Arabidopsis thaliana: one gene and its partners. The protein of the gene in region 2 interacts with the protein of the main gene of each other region in a biochemical or structural test. Each region holds a gene or a part of one and is shown on either strand. Other genes may lie near its edges. The genes, in order: APG8H, NBR1, ATG8C and APG8A.

Evidence for each region.
Region 1: the proteins of NBR1 (region 2) and APG8H form a complex in vitro, tested with the Arabidopsis thaliana proteins (one study listed by BioGRID).
Region 3: the proteins of NBR1 (region 2) and ATG8C form a complex in vitro, tested with the Arabidopsis thaliana proteins (one study listed by BioGRID).
Region 4: the proteins of NBR1 (region 2) and APG8A form a complex in vitro, tested with the Arabidopsis thaliana proteins (one study listed by BioGRID).

What each region holds. Positions count from the first base shown.
Region 1 is NC_003074.8:5,271,009-5,278,254, forward strand, and holds APG8H (Ubiquitin-like superfamily protein), read right to left. Parts: upstream 4,088-7,246; 5' UTR 3,993-4,087; coding exon 3,962-3,992; intron 3,868-3,961; coding exon 3,812-3,867; intron 3,652-3,811; coding exon 3,599-3,651; intron 3,363-3,598; coding exon 3,244-3,362; intron 3,156-3,243; coding exon 3,067-3,155; 3' UTR 2,866-3,066; coding exon of another isoform or gene 2,683-2,865; 3' UTR 2,518-2,682; downstream 1-2,517. Other genes in the region: AT3G15570 (Phototropic-responsive NPH3 family protein), read right to left, coding at 1-692; AT3G15578 (uncharacterized protein), read left to right, coding at 2,683-2,865; AT3G15590 (Tetratricopeptide repeat (TPR)-like superfamily protein), read right to left, coding at 4,560-5,810, 5,911-6,463, 6,622-6,650. UniProt on the Arabidopsis thaliana protein: Ubiquitin-like modifier involved in autophagosomes formation. May mediate the delivery of the autophagosomes to the vacuole via the microtubule cytoskeleton.
Region 2 is NC_003075.7:12,736,204-12,745,281, reverse strand, and holds NBR1 (ubiquitin-associated (UBA)/TS-N domain-containing protein / octicosapeptide/Phox/Bemp1 (PB1) domain-containing protein), read right to left. Parts: upstream 4,251-9,078; 5' UTR 4,092-4,250; coding exon 4,059-4,091; intron 3,701-4,058; coding exon 2,811-3,700; intron 2,722-2,810; coding exon 2,598-2,721; intron 2,495-2,597; coding exon 2,237-2,494; intron 2,060-2,236; coding exon 1,910-2,059; intron 1,818-1,909; coding exon 1,260-1,817; intron 1,182-1,259; coding exon 1,080-1,181; 3' UTR 612-1,079; downstream 1-611. Other genes in the region: AT4G24700 (uncharacterized protein), read left to right, coding at 44-475; MOS1 (modifier of snc1), read right to left, coding at 5,545-7,773, 7,883-8,111, 8,193-9,078. UniProt on the Arabidopsis thaliana protein: Autophagic substrate degraded in the vacuole by non-selective autophagy. Requires ATG8 protein expression to be recognized as an autophagic substrate. Acts probably as a receptor for autophagosomal degradation of ubiquitinated proteins.
Region 3 is NC_003070.9:22,930,002-22,937,291, forward strand, and holds ATG8C (Ubiquitin-like superfamily protein), read left to right. Parts: upstream 1-2,758; 5' UTR 2,759-3,084; intron 3,085-3,200; 5' UTR 3,201-3,214; coding exon 3,215-3,251; intron 3,252-3,451; coding exon 3,452-3,507; intron 3,508-3,593; coding exon 3,594-3,646; intron 3,647-3,889; coding exon 3,890-4,008; coding exon of another isoform or gene 4,009-4,028; exon of another isoform or gene 4,029-4,157; coding exon 4,158-4,252; 3' UTR 4,253-4,439; downstream 4,440-7,290. Other genes in the region: AT1G62045 (ankyrin repeat protein), read right to left, coding at 4,904-5,107; AT1G62050 (Ankyrin repeat family protein), read right to left, coding at 6,322-6,693. UniProt on the Arabidopsis thaliana protein: Ubiquitin-like modifier involved in autophagosomes formation. May mediate the delivery of the autophagosomes to the vacuole via the microtubule cytoskeleton.
Region 4 is NC_003075.7:11,653,747-11,660,966, reverse strand, and holds APG8A (Ubiquitin-like superfamily protein), read right to left. Parts: upstream 5,355-7,220; 5' UTR 5,100-5,354; coding exon 5,018-5,099; intron 4,735-5,017; coding exon 4,679-4,734; intron 4,601-4,678; coding exon 4,548-4,600; intron 4,469-4,547; coding exon 4,350-4,468; intron 4,262-4,349; coding exon 4,158-4,261; 3' UTR 3,933-4,157; downstream 1-3,932. Other genes in the region: AT4G22000 (tyrosine sulfotransferase-like protein), read left to right, coding at 765-1,157; APR3 (APS reductase 3), read left to right, coding at 1,994-2,072, 2,215-2,349, 2,436-2,571, 2,657-3,683; AT4G21970 (senescence regulator (Protein of unknown function, DUF584)), read right to left, coding at 6,861-7,220. UniProt on the Arabidopsis thaliana protein: Ubiquitin-like modifier involved in autophagosomes formation. May mediate the delivery of the autophagosomes to the vacuole via the microtubule cytoskeleton.

The DNA of each region.
Region 1 (7,246 bases), on a different chromosome or scaffold from region 2:
ATAAACTCCGGTAAAGCTAAACCACCGTCAACGGCAGCTTCAGCGAGGTAGGAGTCAACAAGCTTGGCCACTTTAACAAGAGCCGCAGCGGTTTTAACACCTTCACTATCCAATCCAGAAAACTTGTTCACGAGACGCGTCACAAGCTCAATGTCAAGCAAAGTACCAGACGTGTAGCTGAAGGAAGGTATCATAAGCTCCTTGAGAGAAGCTTGGTCGAGCTGCCACGATACTCTGGTTTCAAGCTCCGTTAAATAATTCGGATTAGCTCCGACCATTTTCGCTGTCCTGAGGAGACGGAGGAGGAAATTGCAAGGAACAGAGTCTTTCTCCGGTGGGAGGATTCCGATTAGTGTTTCGACGAAAAACCGTTTCTTCATTACAGATGCAGTGACGCTCTCTGGCTGTGTGTCATTGTGGTTGTTCTTGGATTCTAAGGAGGTGGAGGAAATAATGGCGGAGACATTGCCGGAGAGATCAGGGAGCCATTTTGAAGCGTAATGAGCGATGATGGAACCGATAAGGTCTGGTCTGATTCCTTTGGATTTGATGCCGGTGATTGTTTTGACGAAATAGTTCATGTCTTGGATACAAGATTCGTCGAAGTAAGTGTAGTACTCCATATCACCGACGAAGGTTTCTTGGCGATTGCCGTAGATGGTGACGGGTTCCGGCGAAAGTGTTTTCTTCATTTGTTTCGAGTTTTTTTCTTCACAGTGAGCTCTCGATGTGTAGTGTAGTAGAAGATGATTTTCTATAGAAGAGAGCAAAGTGAAGTGATGGTCTTTTTATTTAAAGTTTGGTTTTATGGTTTTTTGCTCGAAAAGCTCATCACAGAACATAATCATGACTTCCACAGAATTTCAAAAAGTTTTGCGATTTTTAGAAACTAACGAACGAATTAGTTAGATTTCATTTTCGTGAAAAATTGATAAACATAATATTTATTGATACATTGTAGCTGCCTAATAGTGACCGACAATCAAATCGTAACATTTTTTCTGATTTAAAATTGAAAAAAAAATATTTCGTTCAGATAGAATTATTGACTATTAAAAAAAAAAAAAATGACTACATGAAAAAGTATTTTATTATATTTTCGGATTCAAATTTATATAGGTTCCATGCAAAAAAAATAAAATATATGTATGCTAAAACATCGTTTGATTAAAAAGAAATTAAAAATTGAGGGTTACTAGAATGATATGAATATGCAAAGATGTATTGAAGATTATCCATTATGTAGCATAGATTTTACTCTGTATTATGAATTCAGCTGAATAAGAATATATGTATAATGATCTAAATATGTGCTACGGTTTTGATTAGAGATAATCCTAATGTGAGAGGATTGAGAGGTTGTGGAGGAAGATAGGGATAAGAGAAGGATGAAGACAATTTCCCTTGATTTGCCTTGTATATTAAAAACAATTATAGAGATATTTTACCTTATATATATGACAAAGAGAATGAAATTAATGCATAGACTTGTCATTGTCTTACTCTGAGATGCTAAATGGCATTTGTATTCTAGTGTTAACCAATTAATTACTATATACAGTGAACGATTTTTAGTTACATTCTTAGTTTTGATTCTGACTGTAAACTAAACTCCATCATTATGGTTTAATTTGGTTTTGGTCGTCTAAGATAAGAATTACCTAAAAAGGATCATTTCGTTTGACACATTTTCAAACAGTAACTGTTTTGTATAGATTTTTTCATAAATCATAACACACGAAGTACATTCACGAACGACTACAATTTTGACCGTGGAAAGAGACTAACTAGATAAGCTTCTATGCATTTAGCTAAAAAAAACCAATATTTCGAAGAAGACAAATAAATCATAGTCTCTCTGTTTCGATATTTTGTAATATCCTTCTCTCCATGTGATTTGTAAATAAGACGACAATGAATGGTCCCGTTTTAGAATATCATGACCATATGCCGGTTGTATTATCACAATTCACAACCATACGTACATGCCAAAAATAAGATTCTCTCTTCCTTTTCTTTTTTATTCCCATTGCACATTCATTATCACATCACATCACGAGTGCGAAATCATACCAACCGGTTTAGCCCATTAAAGGCCCATTTACAGATATGGGTTTGGCTGTTCTTTGTTTTTTTTTTTTACTTTCCTTGACATAAAGTTATATTCACTCATCTTTTATGTAAATCAAGAGCTAAATAACTCCAACCTCTAGACAAGGCTGGTTTTTCTTCTTCTCTCCAGAGGTTTCAGAACAAAGCTTATACCTTTTGGGCACACATTTGAAAGCACTGAAAACCGTTCATGGTTTTGGAATTTGTCACCAAAATTTTCTGCCTTGAGACATTTGAAGGATGCAAGCACATTTGATTATGTTGGCTTTTGATGGTAATGAAAAGTATACCTTTGTTCAGAAGAAGAGCCTCTATTTTCTTAAAAGAAGATTGGAGTTCTTGAATGCACAAGCCATTATGTAATTAGAAGCCAGAAAAGGTGTAAGAACAGAAAAAATAGCCACAATACAAATATATAAACACTAGGCATTTACCATCAGAAATTGCGAATATGTTAACTCTATACTTGGAAAGATTATCCAGATATCAGACAGACAATACATGTGTATACTCTTCCACACTGTTTCCTCTATATTCTTCCAAGTTTTTGTTTAGTGTTTTACCTTTACAATGTCAAGTCTTATTTCTTATGTTTGTAGCCCAGAGCCTGAACCAGAATCTAATAAAGATACCAAAAGTAGCCAGAACTATTTGCCGGTTGGTGGCCACTTCGTGGTGCTTGCTGGAGAGGAAGCACAAAACTCTTCCCCTAGTAAAACAATCCATTGGTCTTTTGCATTTTCAGGAAGATAAACAATGATGACAAAGAGAGCGTTAAGGGGAAATACTAGTTGGAACTGAGACTGTAGTAGAACGATTGTGCACAGATGAACAAAGTCTAAGGATAAAACAAGCAGCAGTCATATAAAGCTTAACAAGTGTTTGATGTCTTTTGATGTAGTGAACATCTTATGTTTAAAGTATATGTACACAGACACTAACATCATTATTGGATCAACCAAAGGTTTTCTCACTGCTATAGCACATGTAAACGAATCCATCATCATCTTTGTAAGATTCGTAGACCGAGTCCATCAGAGCAGCTGCAGAGAAAAGGAAACACAGAAGACATCAAACAAACTATTCCTAGAAAAAGCCTAGAAGCAAAACCCAATTGAAGCAGAAACTCACCAGTTTGAGGGAGAGTGTTGTTGACAAACACGAATAAGGCTTTACCAGGAGACAAATGTAACCTAGCACTCAATATGTAGATGAATTGGCCAACTGACATATCTCTTGGAACCAGAAACCTAACATTCAAAGACAACTCTCAGATCATATTGAAACCACTTATTCAAATCAAAAGTGATAACTTTGAAACTAAATCAGCTATTTAACTCCTAAAAATGTGTATGAATCTTTGAAGTTATAGGATAAATTAGCTTTCAGTAAAGCATAAATTGAACCAAAGATGATTTTGGTAATCAAACAAGTCATAAGCTAGGCAAGACGAGATCATCAAAATCTTAAGATGAGAAATTTTTACTTCTTTTTCTCGATGGCAGGCAGATCCGTTTTGCAATACTTCTCAGCAATTACCTACAAAATTATCCAATTCTCAGAAAAATTTCCAGGTTTAGAAGTTCATTGTCATTGAACATAAACAAACAAAATCATCTTCTCGGGTACATCGGATAATTGAAGAGATCGGAGGAATCAATTTGAAAAGGAATTAGAATTGAGCTGGATATATACTTACTGGAATCCGAGTAGGGTACTTAGCGATTATCTCCCGCGACTCCGCGAGCCTTTCATCTGCAGATAAGAGATAAGGTTATTGATTACTTTCGTTTTTAATCAACCAGAGAACAATTAGAGAACGGTGATCGATCTTGAGATAGAAACGAACCCAACGTGTATTGTTCCTTGAACGATTTCATCTTCTTCGACCGCCCGGAGATTTCTTCGTCGTGTGTGTTTTTGTCTCCGTCTCTCAAAAGCAAGCGGCGAAGTCAAAAGGAATAATTGAGAAAATAGAAATTTAAACTAGAGATTAATTATTTGACGTATCGTTAAGGTAACAACAAAGCGGGGATAGCTCAGTTGGGAGAGCGTCAGACTGAAGATCTGAAGGTCGCGTGTTCGATCCACGCTCACCGCATTTTTGTATTTTTCAATTCTCTTATAATCTGCTGGGTCCCACGTCATTGGATATACCCAACCCGGTTCATGTCGGCTCTGATGTGTTTATTTATTTACGGTTCAACTTCTCGGTTTCGTCTTCCAATTTCTACTAGTCTAGTTTTTGCTTCGGTTCGATAATTTTTTCCACGTACCTCTAGTCCAGTTCAATTTTATTCCAGTTTATGTCACTTACAAAAAACCACAGGAACACAAACTCAAAAATGAGAAACTTTGGAAGAAAAACGAATCCTCTGTTTATTATTTCCTAGCTTGGAAGCAACCAGAACAAACACTTAACAGCTCAATACATAAGATGATTATCGTTATATGTCAAGTAAAACAGACACTGGACACTTTTTAAACGGATTAACCTGAGCCAGTTTCGCAGCTAGACTCTTGTTCGGGAACACATTGTCTGCCTTCATCCTCTCAATCATCCCGTAAGCAGGAGTTTTGGCGTTGATATAAGCCAGGAGCACGGTTTCATACTGCATAAGCTGAGCTGCATAGCTTGCCCTTTTCATTTTCATGAATACCTTCTCTGTGTTATGAACATCGCCTCTTTTTGCATATTCTTCAAGAATCGCCATGTAAGTAGTGAACATAGGTCTCATCTTATTATCCTTTGTAGCTCTGTTCAATATCAACTCAGCTTTTCCAACTTCTCCTGCTTTGATGTATAGCTTCACAAGCGCGTGCCATGTCGACGGCCCAATCGCAATCCCTGCATTTCCCATTCTTTTAACCAGATCTCTGCCTTTTGCTAGCATCTTGTTCTCTGTGTATATCTCCATGAGGGCAAAATATGGCATCATAGGGAAAATTTTGTATTTCTCCACAAGTCTCTCAAACACTGCCTCTGCTTCTTCGACTTCCTTCAGCTTTCCCCATGCTTTAATGGCAGAAATGCAATTATCGTATCTCGGATTTTGATCAACAAACCTACTCAGTCTTCTCACATTGTCACTGTCTCCTATGTCTGCATAAAGTGGGAGTAATGACCGGCACACCCATGGAGTTTGTTGCAAACCTTTCCCTTCTATCTCCTTCATAAGGTCTTGTGCTCTTTCTTTAAGCCCCGCTCTTATGTAGTACTTAGCCAGAATAGACTGCAGTTCAGGATCTAGTTCGATGCCTTCTTCCTTAATTGTCTCCACGATCTTCTCCATTCCAGTTATGTCTCCGGCTAAACCTTTACTATTGATTAAAAAATGATAGGTAGCACGACTCGGCTTGATGTTTTCTCTCTCCATTAGCAACAAAACATCACTTATCTTCTTTCTATCATGCATACTGTAGAGGAGAAGCAGCTGGTTGCAAGCAAACACACTTGTTGGAAATTTTAGCTCTTTCATTTTGTTGAAAATGTCTTCAGCTTTATTTACATGATGCTTAAGTACACAATTTGCCAGCAGGGTTCTGTATACTACTTCTCCCCTAGAAGATTCTGGAATATCTTTCAAAAAGATTTCAGCTTTTTGTAAACTATGTACCTTGGCCACCAAATCCAACTGAGAAGCATAATTTGCCTCTGTGAACTCAAACTGCGTATTAGCTCCCAACCACTCCCACAACTGCAAATGCCAAAGCCCAAGCAAAGACATACACATTAAGAGGGTGATAGAGACAGAACAATAAAAGATTTGGCAAAGTGTAAAATGAGAACATATTTACCTGCAAACACATAGCATAGGATTTGCGTTTACGCAGATTGTGTATAGCAAGAGTAACCTCAGCTTGACTCAAATCTTTTCCTTCTTTGACCCATTTTTCAAGAACATGTTTCACTGATTTATAAGCAACAATGGATTCGTACAGCTCAGATTGACCTCTTTTCTTAGTTGGTTTCCCACCATCTTTCGAATGCTTCTCTTCAATTTCAAGATCATCATTGTCACTACCAAGTTCAGGCTCGAACAAAGAATCATCATCAACAACTCCCTCTGGTACATCCCCAGAAACAGGAACCGCCTCCTCTGATTCAGACAGCTCCTCTTCCCTAACTACCTCATCTCCTTTATCTTTAGCATCAGCTATAGAAGAAAGCTTGTGGATGCCAAAGAACCGTGAAAACACATCTCTTGCGGAATAAAGTCTGACTAAACCTTGAGGTTTGCTATAAATCAATCCAAATGATTTAAAGACCCGTTCTTTATCACCACCACTTGATACTTCTAATTTACTGACCGCACCAAACGAAGAAGGTGCAAAGTTATATCTTTGACTCCTAAATGACACAATCAAGTAAAAAATAAAACTTTCAATTCAAATAAATCATAACAAACCCCATAAGAGAAGATCTAATTTGCTTGCTGCTAAACCACACACAAGAGCTCTAAAAATTGAAAAAAAAAACCAAAATTTATAAATTAGAAAGCTTTTTACCTTTGGAGAATCCTCGAAAGCGAATACATAACTTCCTTCAATCAATTGAGGTTAGGATCCTGAAAAGCAACACAACACAAATAAGAGTCGACAGTGATAGTATCAACAATCATTTTAACAAGCCGTAAGAATCTTCTAGTAGAATAAACACAAAAGACAGAGAAAATTCGGTGAATTTCAGAATCTGAAATGGAAGCTGCTGAAACGCTAAACCCAGAAATGGAGACGTATGAGAGAATTACGATTTCGAGGGATTTTTTCGCCGGAGCCGGAGAACAGTGATCCCTAATTACTTTCAGGGTTTAATGTCTCTGCTAGGGTTTATACGTGCCAAGGGGACCAAATTCTCAGCGGCTCCTCTTGGTTGAAGAGTAATCTCATATACTCTTTTTATAAAAATTTGTTTTTGATTTTTTTTATTCCGTAAACGAAGTAAATTACTCAGAAAACCCTAAGAATATTGCTTAATTACAACCCAACCAGGGCAAATGGATCCTAAAATAATCCAAGTCCACTGTTTTCGGGTCAAATCCAAATAAAACCCTAATTCCCCTAATTCTCTGCGGTAAAATCGATTCACATCTCTTTTCCTTTGTTTCTTCTTTATTTCTTCACTGTAAAATCC
Region 2 (9,078 bases):
TGGATCCCCAAAAGTCCCAAAATGGAGAAGAAGAAGAAGAGAGATGAGGAAGAAACGAGAGGCTAAAGATGAAAATGAAGAAGAAGAAGAGGAGAAGAAGAAGAGACTAGAGTTGATGAAGGCAGCTGCGCAGGCTTGGCTCAGCCACTCCCAAACCTCAAAACATACTGTTTTAGAGTTCGATGCGCAGAGAAAGCATGCTTTTGTCAAAGGGAAGGCATCACGTTTCAAAACGGAAGCCTTGTCCGCAAAGCATCATCCGTCGTTTTTGGATTGGGAATTCGGACAGTCGCTGTGGGATCCCTACGAGATTCTTTCGGTCTCTAAGAAACTGGAACGCGAACTCACTTTAGAAGAACAAACCTTCTCTTCTTCAGATAATGATGGCCTCAAGAAGATGAAGAAGAAGAAAACTAGAGACAGCAGAAACAGCCTTAGGAGTTTGTTCACTCGTTCGTCTTCAAAGAGATTCTAACAAACTCATCATGTTACTACTTCAAACTTGTAAATTTTTCTCAAAAAGTGAAATCAATTATGAATGTCTTTTATTGGTCTATTCAAAAACTTTTATTGGTTTTTGAATGGTTTCTATGGATAGAATAACAAAGTTTTGTCAGTTGTAAACAGTTTAATGAAGCCGACCACCATGACTAATTGCAACTGCCATGCCGATGATTCGACCACGTGAAAATGTCACCTGATTGAGAGAGATGAGAGGGTAAATGTGAATTAAAACAGTACGTTGTTTCAAGGAAAGCTCTTCTCACAAACTCACATTAAGCCAAATACAGCTGAGAAATGGAGACCAAAAAGGCCTAAAGTGATGAAATCAATAAAAAAGACTCAACCATTCATTTGACCCGAGGAGCAGAACGACATAAACTAAACTGAAATAAGAAAGAAACCATCCATGTCTTAGATAGAGTTAACATAGTAACATCATCCCAACACAAAGCAAAGGAACAGACCATGTGACGCAGCACGAAACCAAACTAAGAGATCAGGTTTTATTTATAAAACATAATTATTCCTGATAGATAAGAGAGATAGAGAAGAGTTGCCAGAAACCAAAGAGCTCATCAAGCCTCCTTCTCCCCTGTGAGGAGATCCATTACCACGCCTTTGATGCTTCCATTGTTCTTCTTCAGCAGTCTCTTGTTCGTCACATCATCACAGAAGCCCTGCAAAATCACAATATTTTCAACATTCCAATCTGCAAAGTAAGATTTAATAAATTCACCAAGTGCAGACACACTTACCATCTCCTGAAGCTCCTCTAGGATTGGATCCCACTCGCTAACTCCACAAAGAGCATCAACAGACTGCTCCAGGTTGTACTCGTTATCCCTCAAGATCTCCTTGTTCAAATCTATCTCCTTGAAACCCATTTCCTCGAGCTCCTTGAGCATGGTTATCTCCACGTCATTCTTTTCTATATCCTCCTGAAGAGGAACTGGCACGTCTTTTGTAGTAGATGAAGAACCACCAGACAAGACCTCAACAGCAGGCATGCTTGGGAAGTCGACCATGTTAAATGAAGAAGATGAAGATGAAGGAGAATGACCGTGAGGGATAGCAGGATGAGCTTCACCAACCAAAAGGTTTTCTTTTTCCACGGCCTGTGTTTCACCAACTTCGCCCTCTAGATCAGTACCTTTCACGGTCCCAGGATTGACACTGGAGCTGCCAGGTTGAGCTGACTCATAATTCATAATCCCTAGAAATTCGCTTGGAAAATTCTCATCAAGGGAGGGGGAGGCATTAAGGTTCAGTCCATGAAACTCATTCACAACAGAATTCTTCAGAGATGCATCAACCTAACCATGCAAAAAGAAAAAATGTATCAAACACATATGATAGAAAGAGACAAAGAATTAAAGGACAGAAGCTGCACAAATCTAGTAAGTACATGTATCAACACCCAAACACGTTGCCCAAACTTAGCACCGTCAGAGGTAGCCATCCTCCAATAAGAAATGTATCGACCAGGTAACTCTGGTGCAACAAAATCAACTTTGACGTCAAGTTCACTATAGATAGGCACACCCTCCTTTGGAATCTGCCATGTGTAAAGAGAGAAAAAAACAGTTAGTATTATATAATCAAGCAGCTATAGTCACTTCGTGAAGAAAACAACCTAACTCAAGCCATCGAGTGTAAATTCAAACAACATAATTGCTCTGTTAGTGGTAAGAATCGAGCTAAAAGAGTGAAAACTAAGGAAATTGTTTCTAACCTGTAAATCAACTGACAAGGAGTTGCAGAACCTGTCCCCACCGATCCAGACAATCTGTGTGCCCTGTGGCCACACCAGCGAACCACTGTTCCTCATTTTCCAAATCTTAGTAAATGGGGCGGATGGAGCAACAACGGTTCCATCAATTACATTCACATCAAGGACAAACCGACTGTCTAGTTTAGGGCGAGTACACCTGAGAGGTGCACCTCCATTGGTTGCTCGTGGCACAGGGTGGCTCAACCAAGGATTAGGAAACTATACCAAAAAAAAAAGGGTAAGAATTCCTCATAGCTATCAGAGAAGACACATAGAATAAACAAGAAGAAAAGTAATTATAAACTTAGAAGAAGAGCAATACTTGGGTAAACGGTCCTCTAAAAGGATGCAGATGTTGAACGGATACAGGCTTATCCATTCTTGTGTAATCCCCCTCGTTACCCATCACCGAATAGCAGATGGTGCACAGATCATAGTCTTCTTTACTGCACAATATTCACAAGCGAAACATATAAGCACAATAAGTTCTAGCATGTTTATAGTTTCTAAAGTAGTAAGTAGAAGGCATCCTTACACTTTCGACTTAAATCTAGGCCCAGTAATTGGAAGAACTCCACATCCGTCACAACGGATGCCCTTATGGAATACACCCAATGAAGTCCAGTAATCACCATTGGTGCTCTTTTTGGAATGACAAACACGACGAGGATGCTTGTTGAGGTTAACTGGATTTGGACAGGAGTAATTCATGGTACTGCCACTAAAGGGACACTCGTTGAAATTAGCACCCAGTCCAGACGAGTTTGGTACATGACCAGAAGTCTTTGAATGAGCGCCAGTGGGTTCATTCAGATTAACAGGTTTCCTTCCGGTCTGGGTCCTCTCAGAGATATCCTTCTTTCCACCAGCGGAAGGAACATCCCTGCTCAGGGAAGCACCTGAAGAACCAGGCTTGGTAACAGGTGAGCAAGGACTACTTTCCTGAGGAATTGAGAGCTGCCCTAGCTTGGAAATGCAATCAAGCATCTCACCAACTACAGGACTAGAAGTTGAGGCCTTGGATGCAAGGTCCATGTACACCTTTGATATGGTATCACGCATCGGGTTAGGTACAGCCATCAGAACATCATTTATACCCTTCTGGATTTTGGAAACCGGGTTAGGCATACCCGCAGGTGTGGAACTCCCACTACTCTCTGGAGCAGCAGAGTTAGTGGACACGCCAGCGTTCACATTGATCTTTAAGAACTTAAGACGCTGATTAGTAACATCAAAGAGATCGTTGTCATCAACAAGGGCAACCACATCCCCATCCTCATCAGAGTAAGTCAGACTCAATTCAGCATCCGCAGAGAGGTTAAAGAGAGCAGCGATCTTTTCCTTAAGACCAGCCATTTCAAGATCAAGCTGTCCATTAGCTTTAACAGGCACCCTGAAACGCCTAAGCACACCTCCATAGCTCACCTACATAATCACAAACAAAATTAGTATCACTTCAATGAAAAAAATGAAAAAAAATTGTCGAAGAAATAGATTACGATTCTAATTACGATAACTTATAGTTTTAATCATTGTTCGGGTATAAGATTCAAGCAGATACTGCTAAGTATGTCTGGAAAATTTTCGAATTACACTTAAGATTATAATACAGAGACAGAGAGAGAGAGAGTCGATCCATAGCGAAATTCAAAAGGAAAGGACCGATTACAAGCAACAAAATCAACAGAAACGAGACGATCGCCACGAAAACCCAGAATCACCGACAATTACTGTGAGAAAACTGACGATTCGCAAATAAAGAAAGGAAGGTTGTATCTCTAACCTTGACGACGAGTGCGTTAGCAGTAGACTCCATCGGTAACGGAGATCAGATCAGCTGGAGAGAATTAAAAGGCAAGCGAGAAGAAACCCTAATTGAAGAAAAAGAGTATCTAGCGAGAAAAAGAGAGAATCGGGGAGAGATTTATCTTAGAAGAAGCGTACCCGTAATCCGCTTTTCTCGTAAACAACCAAGAATTTAGACGGTCGCGTTTTATACTATATATCATTACACAGAATATTTATTAAAATAATTAATTTAATGGGCCCTTTTGTTTATTTAATTAATTTCTGACTTAGCCAACAAGATTTTGACTTTTTTGGTTACTACTGGCTTATCCAGAAAGACAAATCAAACTAACATCCCTAAGTTAAAGCCAAAAATATCAAGAGATACGAGTACATATAACTAGATATTTTATTTTTCATACTAACATTTTGAAAATTGACCAATTCGAGTTCTTATAAAATACTACATCTTTTATGTTTTCTCCAATAAAATGATCAGATACTATTTTATTTTATTAAAACTTCAACTCTTATGCCGACCACAAAAAATAAAAAAACATTTTAAACTCTAATTTATGAAGTTTGAGAAACAAACACCACCAATTCCAAAATCCAAACTCTTAAAACTCTTATGTTTGCTACCTAACCTCATATAAATTTAGTAAATTTAATTAGATATTTTCTTATTATTACGTTTTGTGAATATAATTTATCATATGAACTTTTTCTGTACATTTTGGTGCGTTCTAATAACTTAGTAACATTGATATACAATTTTATAATATAATAGTCATTTGAGACATTCGACATTCGACATACAAAAAAAAAAATATGAGATTCTATATGGCTATATGCAAGTGAAAAGAATTAAAGTGTGACTTGAATTACTAGCATATCATGATGTGATTGTGTAGTTGATGACAAGAGAATATATGGAATAAATAATTGTTTGTACAATTAATTTAGACAAGTTTCAAAACGCATACATTGTATCAATATATCATATATTGTTTTTATATGTGATCATGACAATAAAATATTAGAATAATAGATATAAATATATATATTATACTAGAATTGATATTTCGAGTTATAGATAAATCTAATCATAAAATAAAAAAATTATATTAAATAGATAGGAATTTATCAAAATGAACATCAAAATCAACCAAAAAACATAATCATATTTTTTTAAGCAACTTTAAAAACAAAAATACTCATGAGTATTCATCTAGTGTATACAAAAGGCTACTACAGTAGTTATAATCATATTCAAACAAGTGACTGAAACATATAATAATAAACTCTCAAGACAAAGACTTTTTTTTTTTAATCTGCCAATACCTCCTCGGATAGGTCTCCTCTCAGCAATCTCCCAAGCTATGTGCCTACGAATTAGCTTCCTCAATCGCCATATCTCAAAATGCAAGTATCCTCAGCATGGCAGCTCTTACTACCTAAATAACAATAAGAGGCCAATCTTAGTTTCTATCACCAGTGAATCCATGACCACCGTTTCTCCCACTAGTACCCCTTTGCTGTTGGTATCCACCCTGCCTTTGCTGCCCCTGTCCCTTCTCTCTGTATCTTGGACCTTCTGTCTGAGAACTCTCTTTCGATTGTTCTCGACTACGTTCTCCATCATAAGTATGAGACCCAACAGGTTTGTATTCATAATGCAGATTTTGCTTCTGTCTATCTCTGTTTGAAGGTGGCCTCTGATGGTGATGGTGCATATTCTCTTGCGCCGGTAAACCCCAACCTCCTTGTGACTCCTGCCCTCTTCCAAACCGTCGACCCTGCCCTGTGTTCTTTTGGAACATACTATTCGGATTTTGCTCAACCTGGACCTCCTTATTGGTAGATCGGTTTTGCAACTGGGCTTGTGTATCAGCTGATGTCGTTTTTTGTTCTGTAGTAAACCCTTGATGCTCGTATCCAACAACATTTTTTTCCTGAGATCCATAAGGTTTGTCCCTTGTACTTTCACGACCACCATACTTACCTGTCCTATTAGCTGTATGCCACACATGATCTCCAGGGACACGACCTTCTTTTGAAGCAGCAGGCAAATCTGGTTGGCTAAACCCATGGCCAGAGTGCTGCGTATGAGCTTTATTGAAATCCCTCTTATTGCCTTTTTTAGGGTCACCATAGTTGCTTCCTCCATCCTTGTTGCTTCTTGAAGCATGCTGCCTGCCGTGCATGCTCATTCCTTGATCTTTTCCAACAGCACTGGATTCCATTTCTTCGGCAGCAGAGTAATGCGTTTCAGGAGTCATATACCAGCCATCGTTCCATCCATCCTTATTACATGTGGTTTGATCCTTGGCAGCAATTTGTTCGGTTTGCTTACTAGAGTGATAGTTCACTGTTCCTCGGATGGGCTGATTTGAGGTTACAAATTGTCCATCCTCCAAAGCTTTAGTAGGTGCTCCAGAACCTCTCTGGTGCCATGATGCATGTTCTCTACCATGCTTTCCCTGCCTACCATTCCCATGTCTTGACTTTGAAGGAGACCCAGATTTCCCTGCAGTTGAACCAGAAGGTTGGAGAATTCCTGTACCCTCACCTCCACGATTTTCTTTCTGGTTTACATTCTCCGACATATCTGGAGCAGAGGTTACTAGATTTTTACTGACGATTTGCTCAGCCATTTCCTTTACTATAGGCTTCGGTACATATCTTTCAATTTCCACTCTTTTGCTTTTAGAACTAGTCTGTCCTTGATGCTGACTTTTTGAAGAGGTGCCAAACTCAGGGACAGTAGTCTGACTCCCTCCACCAGTGGAAACATCAGCTTTTTGCTGTGGATGTACTGGAGCCCAAATAACAGCATTGTTGCCAGAAAATTTCTCTGCAGGCTTATTTACCAGTGAGTTTCTTTGAGTCCTACGCACATGTTGAGATTTCCAGTTGTTTTTAGCTCTGTTTTGAGACTCTTCATTAGTGAAGGAACTGATTTGTTCAGACGAATCACCAGACACTTTGATATCCAGGCTTGGAACTGAAACAGACCCCAACTCAATTTCAGCTGCCCTTGCCCTAGCAGTCTCAATTGACTCATCTCCCGATTTTGTTTCTTTTCCAACGGCAACTCTTGTAGTATTCATAGTTGCTGTCTCCTCAGCCTTGTGTTTTTTCTTACCATTCCTGTTATTTTTTCTTTTCGGGAAAGTTGACTCAGCTGAAACGGTTGACGTCGCTGGCATGTCTGAGTTATTGCTTGAGACACCTTCATTAACAACCTCAGGAGACGGGACAACATCAAACACCTCTGCAGTAGCAACAGAGCTCCCTGTCGGTTTTTTCTCAAATATAATATTTTGCTTCTGCTTATAACCCAAGCGCTTCTGTTTTGAGGCACCGCCATCACGTGGAAGATTATCCTGTTGGGAAGGGCCCACATTATTTGCATATTCTGTTGAAGTCCTCGTGTTTTGCGTTGTGTTTTTTCCTGATCCTCCAGTAGGTTCTACGGAATTTGTAGCATTAGATGAATGAGATCCAGGATCTGTTGGCATGTCAGCCGGAGAAGCATTAGATGCAGCTTCCATGTTCTTAACTGAACCCTCCTCATATATTTGGGAACGTCTATTTAACTCTTCTAGTTTTGCAAGAGCCTTAGCCCGCTGATCTCTCGCTCTTTCTTCCTCCTCTTTCTGCCTCTGTTGAGCACGCTGCCTGGCTAACTCTCTCATCGTAGAACGCTTTTAAGGGAACATGGCAAACACTCAGTCAAACCAAAAAAGGATGACTACAAACAAGAGATACATAAAAGTATAAATAACAACCAGAATCATATGAACTAGTTTATACCTGGTTATCCTTTGGGTCTGCTGATATTCCCGACCCAGGCCTCCTGATGGACTCGGTATCCAAAGAGTCATCGACATTAACCTCGCGAAAGCTTTCTGTGTTTGTAGCTAAAGTTGTATGGGAGGAGCCTGACATAACAGTTGTCTTCTGCCAAGCATCATTGCCTTCACTGTTCACTATTCGTTTGGTCTGCGGATCTGCTCTGCCTTGAGTCTGTTGAGTAGGTCTCCTGTAGGTACTAACATCAAAACTTTCCCGACATAAAGGATGGCATAACTGGCCGAAACACAATTGAAAAATGATAACTGACCTGAATATGCTAGTTCCACCCATAGCTGCGGGTTCAGCATTCTTGTTTGTGGCAGAATCACCTTGATTATAGTGTGATGAGTTCTTACTGTCACTTGCATGACCAGTTCGATGATTTCTGGCTGAAACTTTATTTGCAGAGTTCCCAGAATTGAGTGTACGTGGTTGGCTTTCCTGCTCATCTCTATTAACAACAGATGACGAATTTTGCCAACCATCATTAGTTCTAGTTTTTGCATTTAAGCCCTCGATTTTCTGAATCAAACTAGGATCTCCAGGGGCAGCAAGTTCTGCTTTGACTGGTTGTACTTCACCACTTGCGTCATTTCTGATTTCTCTCCTCTCGTTTCTTGAAGTTTGCATCTGTTGAGCTATCTTCTCTGCATTCGGGAGCCTATTTCCAAGAAATTCTTCCCGCTTTGCATTATCTTCCCCAAACCTCCCATCTTGGTGCTTTAGGAGAACCTTGTATGGCCTTTGTGTTTCTTGAGAATGTGATGACTCGTTCCGTTCCAAAGACACTGAACTTCCAGGCGTATCATATCCACCTTGACCAGAATGATTGTTATAAGCATGCGGACCAGTAGGCCTACCTGCAAAAGGTAGGTCTCTGTTGCTGGGACTGCCATACCCCATGGGAGGACCATAGTAGCCTTCGTGTGGCGCTGGACCAACATAAAACCCAGGCCTAGTCTGCATCCTTGGGTGGACATAAGAGTCAAGCATTGGAGGTCTGAACATTCTTTCATTATTAGCGTGATTACCCCTAGGACCAGCCCCATGTCCAGGAGCAGGTGGAACTTGCGTAGGATAAAATGGAAAAGGATCCATGTGAAAACCCCCAGGACCCATTGGGGCACCATACGGGTGGTTCCCTCCGTACCAGC
Region 3 (7,290 bases), on a different chromosome or scaffold from region 2:
TGTAAATATAAAACTATGCATAAGAGAATTGATATAGATTCATACCTTGATTGATCACATCAACTAACATAGAATCTTTAAACTATTTAAACGCGTGATATTGGCACGGCTCAATCAAATAAACCGATCTTTAAAACAAAAGAGTACGGTTTTCTGATTGAACCGCACCAATATCTCGTATTTGATGTCCGATAGTGCGCTCATCGACTCTTCAGTTGCTTATTACACCAAACTCCATCCACATATTAAAGAAAAACAAAACAAAAGGAAACCAAATAAGTCAAAGCAAGTAAATGATTGGAACAAATTGATAGGTAAGTTACTAGAGACAGGTACTTACCGTTAAACCAGTTTAGAAAACACGGTTCTTTTTTTAGCAGATATGAAAATGAGAAAGAGACAACATGAGCTATTTCAATGTTTTTTCTTGGGTTTGCAGAGTGAAGGAGATATAAATACGAAGAGGGTGATGAAGAAATGACAGAGGAAAACAAGCATTGAATTAGGCCAACAACCCCCACAACAAAAAGGAAGTTGGTTGTATTAAATTTGAAAAATATGTTTGTTTAAGAAATAGTGAAATACTTTTCGAAATAATAAATATCAAACAAAATATTTAGGTCGTCCGTTACAAAAAAAAAACAAAAAAAAAAACATTGAACCACTTTTAAGAATTTCATGATGATTGCTTGCTAGTTCTTGTTTATTAAAAAGTCCATAAGAAACAGCTAAACCATTATAGACGTTTCTCTCTTAAAAAAAAAACAAAATATACGACAAAATATATCATAATGATTTTCTTATAAGCCATGAAAAAGTTACTATTTTGTGATGGATATTCTCTTTGAGTCTATGATTACAAATTTATCGCATACTTCTAACACAAAAAAATACGTCACAATTTTTGTTAGGTGGAAAACGTGAGAATGTGTTAAAAATACGTTATTTTTGCGATTTTAGTTTTCATTTGTTTAACTTTATTTATAATTGGATTCCATCCTCATGAAACTTGTGAGGCAATATTTATAAATAATATTATTACATCTTGCATCTTGCATGTATTATGAATTATATATATGCTCTTGATCTCTCTCCTGACCTACGTAACGCCTCGACGGGGAAATCGGAACAATAACTACATGATATGTTCATGCATAAGCTTGCTTGGTCTACGCATTGTTCTTAAATCTGTTTGATGTCACTATGTCACACATGACACGTCCATATCTTTGATTTACTATTTTAACTCTAAAACGTTAACATAGAAGTTGAAAAAGTAGTCAGTTGATATTTGATAAGAAAAACAGCATTTATAAATCTCATAACGATATTCAAGAGGAACGTAAAATTTACTCAATTAGGTAGCTTTCATCTCCAAGTATATACACATGGGTCTATGAATAGTGCATGTACATGTAGTATATGTACATGTGACTTTTTATGTAGAGAGGTTTGTAGAATAAAATGAAATAAAGGAACAAGGAATGCCATAGAGCTTTCAAAATCGGTATTTATGAGGACTTGTATGAGAGACAAAGGCATGTTGGTGGGCTCTGCTACTCCCAACATCTATTTGAATTTTGAAACTAATTTGGTGGTTTCATTTTTGAAATACATCTATACTTCCCTCTTAATTTTACCTAGTAAAGTTTCTAGGCCTGGGATTTCGGCTAAACCCGAGGAAATCGAATGTTTCGGTTCTCGGCGCAGAGAGATAAAGAGAAGGCAAACCGTTCGGCAAAAATAATATTGTGATTCGGATTACGGTTCGGTTCGGTTCGGCAAGCTAAACCGATCGGTTTTCTCGGTTTAGAGGTACACCCTATAAAATAGAAGAAACCCTAGATCTATGTCAACAATTCATGTCGTCTCCTTCCTTTTCTAATCTTAAACTCTTCTCCTCAAGATCCTTCTTTGATCTTCTTCTCCTTCTTCAGTCTTCTTCTTCTTCGTTCTCAGCTTATCATATTCGTTTACTGCTGTGAAACCAACACTCTCTGGCATCAATCCAATTTTTTTTTTTTTCTCACCGCCGCGACATCAAATCTCTCGTCTAGTTGCCGGTGGTGGCAAACATAGACATCTGCACTATGTAGGAATTACAGATCTAGTCAAGCCGCTAATTATTCTTTCTTTCCCTTTGAAAGTCGGACGCGCATGAGTGAACGGCGTCTCCGTCACCGTCATCATTCTTCACTTGTCAAAAACCTAGATTTCAGATGGGCTTGGGCATGTTGTTTATTTTGGACTTGGACTTTTATTAGATTTAGCCCATTATTAATTTATTATTGTTGGTTTATAATTGTAAATTTAATAATTGAGCCCATAATTTTAATTTTGGTCTAATTCGGTTTGAATTAACCGATTTAGAAAAAGGGTCGGTTTAGTTCGGAATTGATTTTAATCCCTGTAACCGAACCGAAAAAACCGAGTACCAAACCGACCCGAACCGAAATTTAATTCGGTCCAATTCGGCAGAATTTTTAAAACCCCAAAAACCGATTTAACCGACCCGATTAAACCGACAAAACCGAACTCCCAGGCCTAAAAGTTTCTATGAAAATCCACTACTAAATTAAAAAAAAAAAAAAGAAAAGGAAAGACAAATGTTAAATTGCATCAACCAATAAAAATAAAGTTTTTGTTTTCACATTTTCTGTACCAAGCATATTAAAGTGTAGACTTTAAATGGTTGCATGCGACCTAATTCGTAAACAAAAAAAAAATCGTATAAATTTTTTGTTTTGTATCTTGTAAAATAAAATAAATCAACCAAATTAATGAGTCAAGACAAAAAAGTTCAACGAGAACCGAATGTTATTCTAAACCAAACCATAATCCGGTACAAATTTCCGGTTCTGCAGCAGGACAAATGGCAACAAAGGAAAGTAACGATGATAAGTTTGATCGAAAGTTTCAGACTTCAATAAGTTTTCAGTTTCGTGCATAGATTAGGAATCTCGAAACCCTAATTCTGTTTTCTACACGAAACCCATCAAAATCGAATTTTGATCGTTTCTAATTTCTGCCATTTGATTCTCTTCATCAGTCACATTTAGGGGAAACGAGAAGCCCTAATCTTTGGTATGTTGCTCCCTCTGATTTCGCAGTTTCTGGGTTTTTGTTTTCCTCTGCGAAATCCCTAATTGAATATCAGATTTCATAGATTGTGTTGATTGATTTTGGTGTTTTAATTTCAGATTCTTTAATCGCCATGGCTAATAGCTCTTTCAAGTTGGAACACCCACTAGGTAAAAACTAAAACTTTCTGGGTTTTGTTAGTGGATCACTAGAAATTATGGATCTTTGATTGTTACCCTTTTAAAAGAGACGATTTTGAATGGATTGTTAGAGACTTTGATATACGATCGATCAAATCTCTTATGTTTCTAATGATTGATCAGTTCACTGATGTTCTTTCACCATTATTTGGGGGTTTTGGTAATGGCAGAGAGGAGACAAATTGAATCTTCTCGCATCAGGGAGAAGTATCCAGACAGAATTCCAGTAATGTTTTCCAGCATTTATGTACCTCTCTGTGTAAATTCTTGCATGTAGCTTTGCTTTTGTAACAGAGGTAGTTCATGGTGTAGGTGATCGTAGAGAGAGCTGAAAGAAGTGATGTTCCCAATATCGACAAGAAGAAGTGAGTAATGAGTAGTGATATTCTGTTCCTGCTGTTCTTTCTTGTTGGCAACTTATGAGTTCTACACATCTTTTGTTTACTTGATAATCTAACAAGAAAGAGTGTGCCTTGCTTTGAACATTATCTTGAAGAACTTTATCTATGTGTAGTATTACGGAATGAGATTGATCTTCTATTGAAGACTAAAAGAGTCTTATATCAGGGAAATGTGTTGATCTGTGACTCTTTGGTTGTTGGATTCAGGTACCTTGTTCCAGCTGATCTAACTGTTGGGCAATTTGTGTATGTTGTCCGTAAAAGAATCAAGCTGAGTGCCGAAAAGGCTATCTTCGTCTTTGTGAAGAACACATTGCCTCCAACTGGTAAACACACAACTTCTTAGCATAAAAGCTGGTTTATGTTAATTTCGCTCTCATGAAATCCGCTGCTAACTTAGTACTGTAATCTACGCATACACTTCTCTGCAAATTCGAAACAATGATAAAAGATTTCTTTATTGATGTTTTTGCAGCTGCAATGATGTCTGCAATCTATGATGAGAACAAAGACGAAGATGGGTTTCTCTACATGACTTACAGTGGAGAGAACACCTTTGGTTTGGTTTAAATGTGTGCCTTCCAATGCTTTTGTGCTGATGTGTATATTATATGCTCTTTTATAACACTATGAATATGCAAAAGTTATATGTACTACTATTAATGTAAATGTTGCTTTGAATTTAAGTTGTTAGTTTGGGTTTTACTTTTGGACACACAACTTGTGTCATCCAACTATTATTAATTCTCTTTTACCATTTTTTGATCATCTATTAATATTTAGGCAATATATTTGTGGTAAAAAAGACATCTACTAAATAAGTAGTGTATCTTTGGTGTTATTTAAAATGAATTAAGTTCTCTTACAATGTCATTCATGTTTTTGCAAACACTGAGGTTGAATTTGACTATCTGGATTCTGGTGCGTACATGTTTTTTTTTTTTTTTAGTTAGCAAATCTAGTGTGACGTGTGTGGTAAACAATTTGTGAGAAAAGAAACAACTAATGATAAGCGAGGCCGCGTTGCCTACATGTTATTAAAATATTAAACCATGTCGTAAAGAACAAAAGACTTTCGATCGTGGGATGCACCAAAACGCATTAACTCATATGAAAGACAAAACAAATAAAAATAAATAAATAGATTGATAGATAAATTGAGATCTTAGGAAGAAACAATTTCTTCCAAAACATCGAAATTTAATGATTCTTTCTTATCTTTCAAGAATCAGAGTCTTTCTTCTTCTTATGGACAAGATTCTTCATCCACTTAAAACTTACGAAATCAACAATCTTGGCTGATTTGGTTTGGCCAGAGTTCTTACCGCCGGCATCTTTCTTGCTTTTGGTGTTGTCTTCCTCCGGCATCTCCCCGATCCCTCCGGTTCCCCATTGATCTGCCCAACTCGGTGCTTCACTTGCCATATTGCGATATCTTTTCGCAAACTAAATAGAAAATCATAGTTAGATATCAAAATGAATTCTTCAACCAATCAAAAGAAACATAATAAAAACATCTAGAGATACAAATTATTCGTTTTTTCATATTGGATCAAAACATGACTTACGTTCATAACTAAGAAAATAGAAGAGAAAAGAAAAATTACCTGTAATGTTTTGAGAGGTCTTCTTTGGAGGAGAAAGACGATTTTGATTTAGCAAAATGAGTGCCAACGCGGAGAATGGAGACAAATAGTAGATGTGTTGTTCTTTTCTTTATTAGACAAAGTGTAAAATATTGTAGTTTATGTTGTCTTTTTTTTTTTTTTTTTTTTTATCTTTAGATTTGTTAATGTGTAAGATATTTTTTTTTTAGGTTGTCTTTGAATGCACTTTATTAACTCAAGTTTGTTCGTTTCCGACTTGCGAAGCAAACATTGTTTTGGAATATTTAGGTATAAAGCATATGATATTGGTCGTGATTTAAGCCATCTAATTATGTCCCATTCCATGTGACAGATCTATCTTATGTTCTTTAGATTTACAGCTAAAAAGACTTTATTTTCACATAAATCTTATGCAATTCTAAGTGTTCTATTATGTATGTACTATATATTATTAACTTCAACTTCTAGTCTCTTAAGGACTCTCATTAGGTAATTCATAGGTTTTGTAGCTTTGTCAAGTTATTTAAATCGGATATACAAAGCCAGCTTGGAATGGAATGTAATCCAAAACGTCTAAAATGTGTCTTATGTAACCTAAAGCAGAACACTCAGTGATTGCTTTATCAAAAGTCATTAGTTCGAAGTTTAGTACAGAATACTATAACGAATATTAAAGCAACAAAAAAAAGTAAAAAATTGCTATAAAAAAAAAGTATTATTGTATCTAGAAAAGTTAATACAACCACCAATGTTGATCCATAAATAAAGGAAAGCATGAACAAATAGTTATTTTTCTTTTTATGCAATTTTATTTTTACTTTAGTTGGTGCTTCTATCTGAAAGCTTTTATTATTGAACTCTTTTAGACCATGACCGACGAAAAGAGTAAAAACGACAGCATTTTAATCATATGAAAAAATATAAATGTATAGTAAAGAAATACTACAACCAGCTTCTCTGTATTTTACTAATATCAGATTATCTACACTAAAAGAGGACTTGATTCGTATCTTTAATACCTCAAAGAAGATACTACTTAGTTCTCTTAGTAGACTTTGATTTCTTCATTTTACTACTATTACCTGACTTACTATTACTACTACTCATGCTTGTCCATTTATACCCAATTGGTATAGCGAATGGGTCCGGCGTTTGTTGCTCCTCCTCTTCTACCCGTCGATGTGAGCCTTTTCCGGTGGCTAGTCTCAGCCACGTCGATGGCCGTGAAATCGAATTTCGAGCATCGGGTTTCTCGCCATCGGAATGGTCTTCTTCACCCGCGGTGGCGGAGTAGAGGAATCTTGGGCTTGAGAGCGGCGTGTAGAATGTCTCCGCCGGCGGAAGCTCGACAAACTTGGTGAATGTGATGACTACTTTGACCGTAGGGACCACCGGAATAGACAGCTGGATCCCACAAGAAAGATTTTGTTTAGCATAAAGAAAGCAACAAATTTCATAATCATCTAAAGAATTTGACTTGGGTATTTAAAAAGCACAATTCCCCAAAATTAGAGATCTATAGAAGTGAAAAAAAAAGCATGGGTCCCTAAAAAAGCTAAAGCTTTGGTTCCTCCGTGACCCGTCCGTGATCTTGTCACGTCAGCGTTCCATTGACGAGACTAGCCAATGAGAACTTGACTCGTAAGTTGGTTTGACCCATTAGGTATAACGGTCGTAATGTTTTAGGCTTAGGAAGAACCCAAAAAGAGTAACAAACGGAAAAAGTGATTTACTGGTTTTAATAACAATCTGGGACAATTAAAAATAATGCTAACAAAATCTATCTTAAATTAGCCTAACTCTTTCAAAATGAAGTAAATACACTATTATTGACTCTAGATTTTAACTTTAAAGGTTTAGAATTCATTTTTTTTAGTTTAAGGTTTGATTTTTTGGGTTTAAGATTCAGGGTTTAGGATTAAGGTTTAATTTTTAAAAATATTTAGTTATTTTTTTTTGCTTTTAAACTATAGATTATTTTGCTAATTTTGGTATAAGATA
Region 4 (7,220 bases), 1.1 Mb from region 2:
TTTGGAAATATACATGATTTTTAAAATATTTATACTAAGTAATTACAAATAATTTGGGTGAGAAAACAAAAAAGAAATAGGAAAAGGGTTTACTAACGCCAAAAAACCCAACCCTTGTCTGCGTTCTTCATCAGCGCCGCGTTCTCAAAGTTGCTCTCACAGTCTCCGATCTCCAATTTTATGTAAGTTCTTTCTCTCATTCCGATTCCAAGTTTCGTATCGATCTCTAAGTAGATTCGTATTAAGCTATAAGAGATTGATGAACCTAGTTGCTCCCGTACTCGAGAGGCTTAGATTTGGAATCGAAATCGATTGTGATGATGTTTAGTTAACGAAACCCAGTCACTAAATCCTTGCGTTGAGCTTATCAAACCCTAATTTTAGAGGATTTAGATCCATTTGCATCACATTTCTGCGTAGTAAATCAAGAATTAGTCTCCAAAGACTCTTCTTTTAACAACATTTCAACCAATCTGCGTTTGATTTGTAAGAAATGTTGTGTCAAGTTCACTCTCACTATGATCTCTCTTTGGATTCAAAGTTTGTATCTTTTTGCTTCTATGCATCACCAAATCTCTCTTTGGATTCAAAGTTTGTATCTTTTTGCTTCTATGCATCACTATCATATAATACCTTCCTTCAATTGATCTCCTCTGCTTTTAGCTAGCAAGTTTATAGGTTTCTTAACTTATTGTGAGCTAATTGGATTACAATGAGATATTATCATCTTTAAAGAATTGTGGTTTTGGGCATATGCAGAAGTTATGGCTGGAAAAGCTGCAGAAGCTGTGGCAAAGACAGTGACAGGGTTTCAACATCCATGGAGGGCGAAACTCGATAAGTACAGAACCGAGTTGACGAAAGGTGTGTGGGGTTATTGGGAGATGGGAGCATGGAAACCGTTAGGGATAAGTGCACGAAGGAGGGCTATGCTGAGGAAAGAAGTGTTGACTAATGGAGAAGATTGGCCTTATGATCCAGAGAGGAAAGCTATGAGGACAAAGAGGAAAGGGCATAAATGTGATAGAATTTCAGCTGAGAAAAGAGAGAACACTGCGAAGCTTATGTTGAAGATGCCTCAGATGTTGCTTGATTATAAGAAGAGAAGGTGGGAAAAGAAGATGAAGGAAGAAGAGAAAGCTAAAGAAGACAAGTAATTGATTTGTTGAGATCATGATTACTATAGACTTGGTTGATGAATAAGAATAATTTAGTTTGTTGATCTTATGAAATCTTGGAAGGTTTAAGATCACAAGTTTGCTTCTGATATACTTTTGTATGATGTTTTTTTATGTTTGTTTTTAACAGAACCCAAAAGTGTTTGTGGTTAGGATCGGAATTTGTTTTTCAACCAAGACTAATTTTGACTGTAAAATATGGTTTATGAAATATCGGTTCGTGCAATTTCTAGAAGAAATGAAGAGATCGATAGGTTTTGTAGATAAATTGATAAGTTAAACTAAATGATAGAATCGTAACAAACGAAAAATAATCTCAGTGAAAGAAAATCTCAACTGTTTTTATTTAGTTAATTCTATAAATATGATCGTTTTTTCGGATTTTTAAGGAAAGAATACACGAGAAAGTATTTATCTAAAATTAATAATCAAACATATCACCATGTTTATATTTTACAAATTAGATTAATTTATTATTAGATTATTTTTGTTAGCTCTAAAATAAAATTAAGCGTGTAAAATGTTTTTGAGATAAGTGTATGTTACATTAATAGAAAAAAAAAGAATTCTTGGACCAAAGTTGACTAGTTTTCTCTGCCACACGACCAAAGTGACGCAAGCAATGATATATAGAAAAGCAAATGCCGCCACCTAAAAAAAGACGTCTAGGTTCAATGAACCTAAATTTCAGCTGCTTCTTTTATAATCCCATTTCTCTCAACAAATCTTAAGAGAACACAAAATTAGAAAAAACACAACACAAAAATAAAAAAAACTTAAGAACATTGTTTCGAGAGATTTGGTTTGGAGTGAAAATGGCACTAGCAATCAACGTTTCTTCATCTTCTTCTTCTGCGATCTCAAGCTCTAGCTTCCCTTCTTCAGATCTCAAAGGTAATTTATTTCATTTTCAATACCAAATTCGTGGAGAATCTTAGAAATGCCTTGATTGGTCATTGTGTTTTGGTTTTAAATTCGTTCAAATTCGATCAATGTCGAATCTTATTCAATTTGTTTGTTTGATTCTTCAATACAGTAACAAAAATCGGATCATTGAGGTTATTGAATCGTACCAATGTCTCTGCGGCTTCTCTGAGTTTGTCCGGGAAGAGATCCTCCGTGAAAGCTCTTAATGTGCAATCAATTACAAAGGAATCCATTGTTGCTTCTGGTAAGTTCTGGTTTGATTTTTCAATTGATCATTGGTTAATTTGATTAAGGTTTATGCTAATGATCTTGTGCTTCATTACAAAACAGAGGTTACAGAGAAGCTAGATGTGGTGGAAGTTGAAGACTTTGAGGAACTAGCAAAGAGATTAGAGAATGCTTCTCCTCTTGAGATCATGGATAAAGCTCTTGAGAAGTTTGGGAATGACATTGCTATTGCCTTTAGGTAATGAATTGAATCATGAGAATACAATAAAGGAATGTTTTTGTTTTCCTTTAGTTTGCTGATTTGTTGTTTTGTTTGGTTTCAGTGGAGCTGAAGATGTTGCTCTGATTGAGTATGCTCATTTAACTGGAAGACCTTATAGGGTATTCAGTTTGGATACAGGGAGATTGAATCCAGAAACATATAGACTCTTCGATACCGTGGAGAAACATTACGGTATTCGGATTGAGTATATGTTTCCTGATGCTGTTGAGGTTCAAGCTTTAGTTAGGAACAAGGGTTTGTTCTCTTTCTATGAAGATGGTCACCAGGAGTGTTGCCGTATTAGAAAGGTGAGACCTTTGAGGCGTGCGTTGAAGGGTTTACGTGCTTGGATCACTGGTCAGAGGAAAGATCAATCACCCGGGACAAGATCGGAGATTCCTGTTGTTCAGGTTGATCCAGTGTTTGAAGGATTAGATGGTGGAGTTGGTAGTTTGGTGAAGTGGAATCCGGTTGCTAATGTTGAAGGGAATGATGTTTGGAATTTCTTGAGGACGATGGATGTTCCTGTCAACACGCTTCACGCTGCGGGTTATGTTTCAATCGGATGTGAGCCATGCACGAGAGCGGTTTTGCCGGGTCAGCATGAGAGAGAAGGGAGATGGTGGTGGGAAGATGCTAAGGCTAAAGAGTGTGGCCTTCACAAAGGGAATATCAAGGAGAATACCAATGGAAACGCAACCGCTAATGTCAACGGGACAGCCTCAGTCGCGGATATCTTCAATAGCGAGAATGTTGTGAACTTGAGCAGGCAAGGGATTGAGAATTTGATGAAGTTAGAGAACCGGAAAGAGGCTTGGATCGTTGTGCTTTATGCACCGTGGTGCCCGTTTTGTCAGGCAATGGAAGCTTCATTCGATGAATTGGCGGATAAGCTGGGAGGAAGTGGTGTGAAGGTTGCTAAGTTTAGAGCTGATGGTGACCAGAAGGACTTTGCCAAAAAGGAGTTGCAGCTTGGAAGCTTTCCAACAATACTTGTGTTCCCAAAGAACTCTTCAAGACCAATCAAGTATCCATCAGAGAAGAGAGATGTTGATTCTTTGACATCTTTCTTGAATCTTGTTCGGTAAATCCGCAATAAAATCCGCCGACTCTACGATGACGAAGAGATCAATAATAGACCATCCAGTCTCGTTCCAGATTGCTAGAACAGATGAAGAAGGTGAAGATGAGAATCTCTATTTGGAGCTTTAGCCTTTTGTATAGCTGTGGTTAAAAATAATTACGCCAAGGTTTTGCCTTTTGTGAGTTTATTTTTACCAATTTTCAGTGTATTACTCCTTTTTTGCCTTTGTGATGGATATGAACAAGTTTGATATGAAAGTGACTCATTACTCATTAGCCCCAAAATCAATGTTATTTAAGTAAAAGCAAAAGAGGAAAGTAAGAAAAGGAGAAGTTTCTGACGATTAATAAACCCAAAGGGAAAGATATCCAAACATCCAAAGCAAAGTTAAAAGCCAGAGAAAAGAAGGAAGCAATGTACATCTTTATCTTCCTGATTTATGTATGTACATCAAAGTCATCCAAAGATCGATTTTTATTCAAGCAACGGTAAGAGATCCAAAAGTGTTCTCTCCACTGTAAGTCATGTAGAGGAACCCATCCTCATCTTTGTGTTCTTCATAGATCGCAGACATCAATGCAGCTGTTAAGAAACAAAAGTGAAACCAAAGTTAGTGGTAAAGAAAGAAACTTTGATCCTGAATGGTGTTAAAGAGTTTAAGAACTCTTACCAGTTGGAGGCAATGTGTTCTTAACAAAGACAAAAATAGCTTTCTCAGCTCCAAGCTTGATTCTTTTACGAACCACGTATACAAATTGTCCCACTGTTAGATCAGCTGGTACAAGATACCTAAAAGAAAGTGGAAGAAACATAAGTTATCAAGATTATGATATAGAAAAAGAGTAAATAAAGCAAACCCATTACTCACTTCTTCTTGTCAATGTCAGGAACATCACTTTGTCCAGCCTTCTCCACAATCACCTACATACAATCCAAGATTCTAAATTAGACTAAATTTAGTGAAAAGAAGTTAATCAACTCATGAATTTGTAAGCTTACGGGAATTCTGTCAGGGTACTTCTCTCTGATTCGAGAAGATTCACTCATCCTTGCCTCTGATTAACAAAACATAACCACAAGATTAATGACAAGTACATCATTAAACAGAGATATCTATAAAATCTCACAGCTTGGCTTAGAAACAAAAACAGAGAAACGAACAACAAAGGAAGAATCAAAAGCGTATGCAGAGATTAAATCTGATCCCAAAACCAATCAAAATTGAGTTCCAAAATCAAAACCATACACGATCTAAAGCAAGTTTTAACAGAATTCAGAAACTCAACAAAAAATCAAGTAATTGAAAATTCGATGAGAAAGGGATTTGAAGAAACAAACCGAGAGGGTTAGAGATCTTGAAGGAACTCTTAGCCATTGCGATTCGATTAGTCTCTGCGAATTTCAAGCAAGCAAAGATCATAATTAATAAACTCGATCGTCTGCTAGATCGGGGGAGAAACAAACCCAGAAAACCCTAAAAGATCTCGAATTTATTGGTGAGAAGAAACATACCCGAAGAAGAAACTGAATCCGATTTGTTGGAAATTAGGGTTCGTTGAGAAGAAATTGAGTTTGATTGAAACTGGAGAAGAAGAATCGAGAGAGAGAAGTCAATGTCAAGAGAAAGGGATTATAAAAGAAATTAATAATGGAATTTAGTTAGGGTTTTCCTAATGGTTGCCTACACGGAACTGTTTCTGGAATAAGTAAACCACTTGGAATTCGTTTATTATTATTTGTTGATTGGATTACAAGAAATCTCTTACACTTGTCTTACGTCACCACCATCTGTTTATTTCTTCACACATTTTTGTGTCGTTTTGGGCTAATTGGGCCTTTATATAGGCTTTGGTTAGCAAAAGTTTACAAAGTAACAAAAAAATTTTTTTTTTTTTTTTGTCATCAGGTGTTATTTATGACTCAAACGAGCCAATTTTGAAGAAAATTATTTACAAAAATGATATGTAGCGGTTCCGCACGAATTTTTCGTGCCAAATAATCCGCTTTGACAAAGTAACAAATTTGTTGTCGTTGTATTTTTATATAAAATTGAATTGCATTTTTGTGGCACCTCTGTACAAGATTTTTTTTTAGTTGAAACTGTAATTTTACTACAATTTTTTATTTCGAAAAAGTAAATTGTAAAAAGAAAGAATGATTATCATGAACCGTTGCTAGGGCCAAGGAAAGATGAGTAAATTTCGTTTATAGTGTGATTGGTACTATTTATATATTGAGTAGATCCAAACAAAATAAAAAATCCAACCGAACTTGACATTTTTTTTGTTTGTCGGCAATTCAAATTTAGTACGGGTGAGATAGTACCGACGTGAATAAAACTGAAAATTATCGAAACAAGTATTTTTATTTATACAACTTCATTCTTGAAAATATATCTTACCATAGTAAATTAACTAATATATTTATTATGTATATCTTGAAATGGATATTTAGCAACGAAACGAATTAATCCAAATTCAAATACAACTTTTTCAGTTGCAGATTGGTTCAAGAATACACGAAGTAAAAAATTAAATCAACACACCGAAATAGATAACAGATACATATACCCCATTCCCCTAGTAACACCATGTCTAGTTGCTATATAACATTGAAAAGTGAAAGGTAGTGAGCAATATGGAACGAGCCCCTTAACCTTGTGTCGGACCAAAAATGTTAACATTATTCGCTACATTTTTCTCTCTTGGTCGAGGCCAAAATGGTGAAGAGATCGAGAGTGCTTTCAAATTTCTCACATTCAAAGGTTCCAAAGTATATGCCATTTTGTTTTGCTAAACTATAATTTAAGCTCACTAAGCACTGCTAAAGAGTTAAAAGACCATTGAGAACTACAAACATAACATGAGAAAAATGGTATGGGCCCATGCATGGGATTGACAAGTCATCCTCATCGTCATCATACTTATCTAAAAAAATCCAAAAACCTAACAACAACAACAACAACAACAACAAAAAAAAAAAAAGAGAACTCAACCATATTGGTAGTGTCATGATTCCCTACATGGTGATAACGACAATAACATTGATATTTAATAAAAATCATGTGGATACCATAAGGTTTTAGGTTTTTTTTTCATGATAATGATATGGTATGGTGCTAAAAAGGGTTTTGTGTGAATGTGATATTGATCATCCAGCCATGCTCCATGCCATGCCAAAACTATGGTGGTGATGTTGTTGATGAAGATGTGATATTCGATTCCAAGAAACCAGTTCTTGTTAAGACAGCGTTTCTTGTTTTGCTGAGATCTCTTCCTTTGAGCGTTCTTCCGATTCCTTCGCACATAGAGAATGATGAGATCTGCGTTCTTGCAAGTCTTTTTGCTACTAACTCATGTGGAGGAACCATTGAGCCTTCATCATCATCGTCAATGGCCCATGAATGCAAGTGGCTGCTTGTGTTCTTCTTTGAATACCCATAAACCTTGGACCAGTCAGGAATATTCATTGGAGCAGATGACTGTTTTGCCCCTCCAGAGACCTCGTTGCCTTTAGGAATGTACCTCGCAGAAGATGAGGA